2 linked regions of the Drosophila melanogaster genome follow. The protein of the gene in region 1 purifies or fractionates together with the protein of each later gene. This does not show direct contact. Each region holds a gene or a part of one and is shown on either strand. Other genes may lie near its edges.

What was found.
Region 2: the proteins of CG5412 (region 1) and sud1 purify together in Drosophila melanogaster (affinity purification with mass spectrometry, with the first as the bait; one large-scale study listed by BioGRID). This does not show direct contact.

The regions. Positions count from the first base shown.
Region 1 is NT_033777.3:20,575,121-20,578,631, forward strand, and holds CG5412 (uncharacterized protein), read left to right. Parts: upstream 1-1,932; 5' UTR 1,933-2,018; coding exon 2,019-2,466; intron 2,467-2,525; coding exon 2,526-2,917; 3' UTR 2,918-3,011; downstream 3,012-3,511. Other genes in the region: TFAM (mitochondrial transcription factor A), read right to left, coding at 375-501, 1,026-1,753.
Region 2 is NT_033777.3:24,915,189-24,919,538, reverse strand, and holds sud1 (sudestada1), read left to right. Parts: upstream 1-1,674; 5' UTR 1,675-1,775; coding exon 1,776-1,830; intron 1,831-2,029; coding exon 2,030-3,585; 3' UTR 3,586-3,699; downstream 3,700-4,350. Other genes in the region: CG11168 (uncharacterized protein), read right to left, coding at 1-722, 784-887; PIG-S (phosphatidylinositol glycan anchor biosynthesis class S), read left to right, coding at 1,776-1,830, 3,804-3,894, 3,953-4,092, 4,149-4,346. UniProt on the Drosophila melanogaster protein: Prolyl 3-hydroxylase that catalyzes 3-hydroxylation of 'Pro-62' of small ribosomal subunit uS12 (RpS23), thereby regulating protein translation termination efficiency.

The sequences.
Region 1 (3,511 bases):
AACGTGTTGGCCGAAGCGATCTTACAAGGGCTAGATCTATTCAACTTATAACTTGGCCACGATGGTTACATGCACTCGCTCTCTAGTCAGTTTAAAAATGTATTTTCATATATGTACAATATTTAGTCGGTTGCTGTATTTTTATTTCATGCTGAAACTACAGACTTAAGTTGTCCAGAAAAACTACTAGAAGTACCCTTCGTAAAACTAACAGCAGGAACACGGGGTTTAAGTTAAACTTATGCTGGCTGGCTAGCATTTAATCTTTAATGCCCTAACCTTAACAATTGGCGATCGAAAAAGAAAAACGAAAAACAGAATGATGCATGATTTGTGAATTATGTGATGGAAGAGGGCGGGCCGAGCAGCTACAACTATATATCTTTGGAGGCCAGCGTCTTGCGGGGCTTTGGCTCAGGTGGATCGATAAGATTTCCGTGACGCACCACGTCGATGTGGCCCAGGCGGATCATCTTCTCCTCCCAAACGGAAATCGCTTTCCTAAAACGCACAAAAAAGGTTGTGTTTTTTAGAAACTGTGTTCACTGGTTCAAGACATTATTTGTATTGAGTAAATAACGCGCCCACGAGAAAAAAAAGAAACGTAAAGCCACGTGGTCCTAATATTTAGCACTAAGAAACGAGTTCCATGCCAAAATATTGATTAATATAGAAGCGTTAATAATAAGCATTAACACAAGCACATAAAGATTTCTACTGTAGGCAAGTTGGACTTTAAAAAGTTTATAAAAGATCTTAGAGAAGTTAATGGTTCAAACTTGAAGTAGAGGGCGATTTATCATGAATTTGGCAGAATATAATAAATTGTATCTAAAGTTTTTACAAAAATCTGCACCTAGTTGTTGTTGCTAAATTTAAAAATTTTTAAATCAAAGTTTAAATAATAATCAATATAATTTTACTGTAACCTAGTCAGTGGAATGCAATGAAACTATGATTCAAACTAGAAAATCTGCTAACGATTAGTAAAATTCGCCAACTTGAATGCTGAGATGAACACGCACCTGTAGAGCTCCATCTCCTTGCGCGACTCCTGCATGTAGACCTCCTTCTCGGAGTCGGAAAGGCGAGTCCACTTGGCGGTGGTCTTTTGGTGCCACTCGCGGTAGGTTTGCTTGTCGCCCTGCGGAGTGTTGATACGTTCGCTGGCGATGAATCGCAGGAAGGCCGAAGCGGGCTTTTTGGGTCGCCCCAGCTCCTTGACCCGCTTGCGCAGCTGGCGGCGCTCCTTGGCGTCAACGAGGTCCTGCTTGAGCTGCTTGATCTCGGCCCGCTGCTCCTCCGTGAGTGTGGCATCGTACTTTGTTCGCTCCTCCACGTAGATTTGTTGGTCCCGCTTGAACTCGGCCTGCAGGCGCTCCTTCAGCTGCGCATCGGCATCGGACCAGTTCTTAGACAGCTGGCGCACCACCTCGACGGTGGTAATCTGGGGATTGGCAGCCTTCAGCTTGGGCCGCTGCTCCCGCATGAAGCGAAAGTAGGGAGTCAGCGGTTTCTTTGGTCGCGGCGGCAGGCCCAACTGCTCCTCCAGGGTCTTCGACGGCACCGCCGGAGTGTTGCTGATGCTGGCGGCTGCTAGGGGCCTAGGGGGTGTGAGGGGTCGGTGGTCGGTGTCATTGGCACGAGATGGATCACTGGGTGGCCAATCTTTGGCTACAACTTGCCTGACTTTGTTGATCAGCGAGCCGATGAGGCCGCCGCGCGAGGACATCAGTGTTGTGGTGTAGATCATGATCTCAATGGCGAACCTGCTTCCTTGCGTTGTAAGCTATTTAAAAATCACGGGGAACTTGTTGCATTTACGGAAAAAAGGATTTACGTAAAAAATGCGGCATTCTAGGCCGAGCGTTGCCACCTGGTGAGTTACTTCAGCCAAGTGCTGCCACCAAGTCCCAAGCTTTTGTTATCGAAAGCTGACCATCTCCATTAACCGTAGCCATAACCTTGTTTATTTTGTATTGTTTTTCTTAGTTAAAATTATAAAATCATAAAATAAGATGACCAACAACGATGCGGCCGTGGAGGCAGCCGGCTCCAGTCGGGCCAGCAGCAGCAAACAGCAGCTGAAGCTGGAAATCACCGAGAAGGTGCGAGTCCTGTGCCTGCACGGTTACCGCCAGAATGGAGAAGCCTTCAAAAACAAGCTGGGCTCCTTCCGCAAGTTCGCCAACAAGTACGCAGAGTTCGTGTTCATCACGGCGCCGCACGTGGCCAAGGCACTGGAGTCGGCGGCGGAGCCTGTGCCGGAGCAGAGGAGTTGGTGGGCCAACAAGGACGATGGCTCCTTCAAGGGAACAAACAAAGGTGGTCCCGCCTTCGGCTTTCAGGAGAGCCTGCGCTGCGTTGAGGAGGCGTGGCGGACGCAGGGCCCTTTCCAGGGACTGCTAGGCTTCTCACAGGGCGCCTGTTTCGTGGGTCTTATATGCGGCCTGGCCAAAAAGAAGTGTATGCCATGATTTTGTCTGAAAATACAGTCCTTGTTATAACTATACCATCACCCGTAGTGACCTCCATCCGTCCGGAGTTTGCTGTGCTAGCCTCGGGCTTCTTGTCTGGCAGTCTGGTGCACATGAGCGCCTACGAAGAGGCCATCAGCATACCCACGTTGCACATCTACGGACAGACGGATGAGATCATTCCCAAGGAGATGAGCGAGTCCCTGGCTGCGCGCTTCAAGAACGCCGAGGTGCTGGAGCACAGCGGCGGACACTACTTCCCGGCCACGGCGCAGCAGAAGCAGACATTCATCAACTTCTTCCAGGATCGGCTGCAGGAGTACCTGGAGCACGAGGAGTTGCAGCAGAGCGGCAATGCCTCATTCGTGGATAGCGGAGCGGAGGACGACAACGATGCCGAGGTGGCGGCCATGACGGCCGAGCTGGACGAGAGTGATTAGCCGAGGGACGGGGGTTTTTTCGTTCGTTTTTAATAATAATTAAATCTTATTATTACAAAAATAATGATTTGATTATAAATTATAATATAATTAGATCCCAATATTAGTTAAATATTCACTCTGCTCACGAAGGATCAAGCGGATCGGGTATTGAAATGTCTGCACGTTCGCTCAGTTCGCACATATTGTTTTTATGACTTTGTGTATTTTCTCAACAAATTCGTATAAATTTCATTAAAAAGAAACAATCAAGGGGTTAGGGTAAAATTAAAGCCGAATATTATCAATCCCATTCCAAAGTTCAATTTTGTGTCGGAACCATAGTAAATTAATTGTTCCTTGCTATTAACAACGAAAAATGCATATTTAGCTATTGCAGTTGAGACGGCAGCTTTTGCTTCTTCACCACGCTGGGAAGTTGAGAATCGCAGACAAATAGATCTTCCTCCTCCTTCGTCCGGTCCGACCATCAACTTCGATTTCAATTTCATACATTTCGTTTGCGTGGGACAAGCGAGCGACAGAGTTAGCGGATTTATTTTGTCTCGATTTGCTGCTGCTGTTGATTTTGATGATGTGTTTGCTGCTGTTTGT
Region 2 (4,350 bases), 4.3 Mb from region 1:
CGGAGAGTATGTCCAGGGCTGTGCGTCCGTTTCCATCGGTGGCGTGTACGTAGATACCGGCCTTAAGCAGAGTGACCACAACGGACTTTTTGCCACAGAGAGCCGCCTCGTGGAGAGCGCTTCCAGCGTTGGTGAGTATGTTGACATCGACGCCGGCCGCCAGCAGTGTTTCCACCACCTTCTTGTGCCCATTCCTGCTGGCCAGGTGCAGGCAGGTGTGCGTGAATATGTGCTTTATGGGCATGCAGCCCAGCAGCTCTTCATTGTCATCTTCCAAACGCTTATACGGCAATATGAGGTCGGGATAAACACGGAGCAAGGTCTGAACCACCTGAAGGCGTCCGAATTGCGCTGCCAAATCCAGAGCCGTTTGAAAGCTATTGTTGCGTATGGCAGGATCGGCGCCATAGGACAGCAAAATGGCCACCACGGCATTGTGGCCATGTTGGGCGCCTGAGTGCAGCGGCGTCTCGTTTTCGATAGTCTGGGCATTCGGATTGGCTCCCGTAGGCGAGTGCATCAACAGCATCTTGACGATGTCCTGGTGCCCAGCCCAGGCAGCCAGAAATAAAGGTGTCGAGCCACGTATATCAGGCACATCCAACAGCGCGTTGTGGGAGAGTAGTAGCCGTACAATGTTGCTATGCCCATTTAGACAGGCGTGATGCAGCGAAGTGTAGCCATTCATGTCCTGGCAGTTGATGCTGGGACTTCGCCTAAAACTGTAAAGGAAAACCTGTAGTAAACTACCTGGAATAACAACAGTTGCTGCTGGTGACTCACCTGGACAGCGGGCCATGTCGTTTGCTCGAGTGCTCCAGCAGTTTGTCCACCGTCTTGATGTCGCCGGCTCGCGAAGCCTCCAGCAAATGCTGATCCTTGCCCATTGCTCCTCCGTATCCTCCAACACTAGGTAGCTACACAGGAGCAGAAGAACACATGTCAAGTTGTTTAGTTTAGCTTTTGCTCCGATTCCAACACAATGAGATCATCGCGAGCATACAGAATACCACAGCCCCAGCCCCACTCACACCCCCAACAAATCAGGTGGCAGCCAGGCGGAATCAGCTGTTTGGCCCTAGCACGCACAGACTGATAGCCAAATATTTTTTTTATACAAAATAGCTGTGAACATTCCACAATAGTATTTTTGTTTATAATATGGAGGGCTGAATGGTGGCTCCGCCTCTTCCAAGGTCATTCCACGGCATTGGACTGCTCCAATTGGAATTTCTTTGTCACCAGCTAGGTTTTATCTTCAAGTTTTAATTTACCGGCTATGTCCACGTCCGTTTCGAAAGTTTACAGCCATAAACGAATAACTATATTTGCCACCGCGATAAGCAATCAACAAAGCTGTGATCTAAACTTTATTTACGTGGAGCCGATCGAGCAATTGTTCGTTACTAATTGGCTAGGGATGGAGGCGTGAGGCGACGACGAAACACACGACACTCACGTACAATCAGTGATGATCAGTATAAAATGAAAGTGTGATTAGTGAGTTGAATGCTAATGCTGAATGCCTTCAATATATTATTATATTATATATTATTACTTATATACGCCCTTTATTGTTTACAATATAATGCCAAAAGTTTTTAGCTACTAAACTTTAGCTAGGTATTTGATACTGCGTGGAATAAGCTAACTACCCAACACTTGCACAGAACAACCGATATTTCCGAGCTACCATCTCTAGCTGCACAAGCCAATTTTTTTATTTTCCCTGGCAAAAATTCACGTTTTTAACCGAAAATTTGACTCACAGCATCATGGAAACCTCGAGCTCCAGTCCAGTAAAGCCCAGGAGAAAAGACAAGGACGAAGGTAAGTGGAAACAGTGAGAAATCTGCCCCAAAACGATAAAGCGAGGTGTGCCGGCACATCGGTGCCTTTGATTTTGCCTTTGCCTTTGATAACGCGTGTGTGAGTGCTGGTGTGCGTAAAAAATAGCCAAATTAAAGTTTAAGGTATGCCCCTGTTTGCCTCGCTTAATGCAAACCCATTCACTATGTTGCCCTTGCAGATGGTCGTGCAGAGCAGGAGGATTCCGCAGATCAGGTGGGCGAGCCGCACAGGAAGCTTTTGCGCCTGGGCGACATCCTTGAAACGAACGAAGTGCTCCTGAACGAGGCGTATCAGCAACCGGAACTTACCAAGTGGCTCCAAACAGCCTGGACGGAGGAGAAGAGCCAAGGGACCAAGGAGACGCAAACCGGTGCTCAGGTCTTCTCGGATCCCTTTCAAATCTGCCTTCTGCCCGGCATGCTGGAGAAGGGCCAAAGCCAGGCGCTGGTCGCCGAGATCATCCAGAAGGTGCAGTGGTCGCGCAAACAGATGGATTTGTATGAGTTCTACCAGAGCGCCGACCTCTCCAACATGCCCGCTTGCCGACTGTTGACCAACTTCCTGCAGGTGCTGCGCAAACAAGTGCGTCCCTGGCTGGAGAAGGTTACCAACCTCAAGCTGGACTATGTGTCCGCCTCCTGCAGCATGTACACCTGCGGCGACTATCTGCTCGTGCACGACGATCTGCTTAAGGACCGACAAGTGGCCTTCATTTACTATCTATCGCCTTGGGAAGGAGCGGAGGAATGGACGGATGAGCAGGGCGGATGCCTAGAGATCTTCGGTAGCGACGATCAGTGCTTTCCACAGTTTCCAGTGCAGCGAAAGATCGCCCCCAAAGACAACCAGTTTGCCTTCTTCAAGGTGGGCTCGCGCTCCTTCCACCAAGTAGGCGAGGTTACTACATTCGACTACCCGCGTCTTACCATAAACGGATGGTTCCACGGCGATACCAATGAGGCCTTCGTGGCCGACTCCCTGCGCGCCTTTCCCCGCCTGAATTACCTGCAACCTGATGGCCTTAATAGGCCACCGCTTGGCCTGTTTCTAAACAACGTGTATCTAAAGGGGGCCACCCGCCGGAGCATCCAAAAGCGGATCGAAGAAAACTCCGAGATTTGTTTATACGAGTTCTTCAAGCGAGAGAAATTCGAATTGGCCCGGTCGCAGCTGTTGGCCGATTCGGATACCTTGAAGTGGCGAAGACAGGGACCCGCAAACGCACACAACTATGAAGTGCTGGATTTGACAACAGCCAGAGGCACCATACTGGAACTACTGCAACTGTTCCGTAGCCACGCCATGTTTGATTTGCTGCGAGATTTCACCGATCTGGATTTGGCAGGCACCGATGCCGAAAGTCCAACATGCAGCGTGGAACTGCAGCGCTGGTCCCACGGCAACTACACAGTGCTGGGCGACGGTTTGACCAGCGAGGAGAACACTTTGGACCTGGTTTACTACCTGAACGCGGCAGAAGGAGCAGCGGTGATCACATACCTCGCACCCGACGCCGAAATGCCAACAGCAAAAGCACCGACGGACGGAAGGCGATCGGACTACGATGACGAGGAAGAGGACGATTCCGTTCTGCTTACTATCACGCCGGTGGACAACGCCCTGAACATAGTATACCGGTGCGAGGGCACCACCAAGTTCACCAAATACGTGTCGCGCAACACGCCCCTTGAAAAGGGACCTGTTTTTGTTATTTCGTGCAGCTACAAGGAGTAGCATGTGATCCTGTTTCACAACATGCGCACAATTACTCGTCAAGGACTATTAACATTCATACCGTTCTCCTGTACAGAAACTAATTTACATAATAAACTTTATAAAACACAAATCAAAATATTATAGTTTTTTGTCGAAGTAATAAAGTGTGAACCCAAAGAACGCTTACGACCGCGATAAATCAGGAACTAATCAAACACTTCTCTTTAACTTTACAGATAAGTTCCGGATCGGGGCTACACTAGCATTTATCGTGGTCATCATTGGAATTGGCGTGCCCATGTGGTGGCGCACCACCACAGTCTACAGGTGAGTCAACCATGTCTGGCGGCGTTTTTCCAATTATACCTAAATGTTGCAATCGCAGAGTCAATTTGCCCTCGACGGAAATTTTGAGTCTGAGTAAAATTCCGATCAAAACGGCTGTGCAGGTGGCCATCTACACACAACAGACCAGTCGTGGCCAGTTGCTCATCGCCGAACTGCAGAACGCCTTCAGCGACAATGGTAGGTGCAAATTCATTATCCATTCATATTTCTAAACGGCATGCATTTCCCATTAGAAATATGGTCTGTGGAATTCAAGCAGCTATCTCCTACGCCAATGACCCAGGAAGCACACACGCCAGCTGCTCTGGAGAAGCTGTTGCTGGAGAACCATGTCCAGAGCGTTGGCGACTTCATGTTCATCGAGTGGCCCAAACTGCAGGAGGAGCTGCTACTAACCACCGAAAGATCGGCACTGATGCGAAGTGATACACGTGA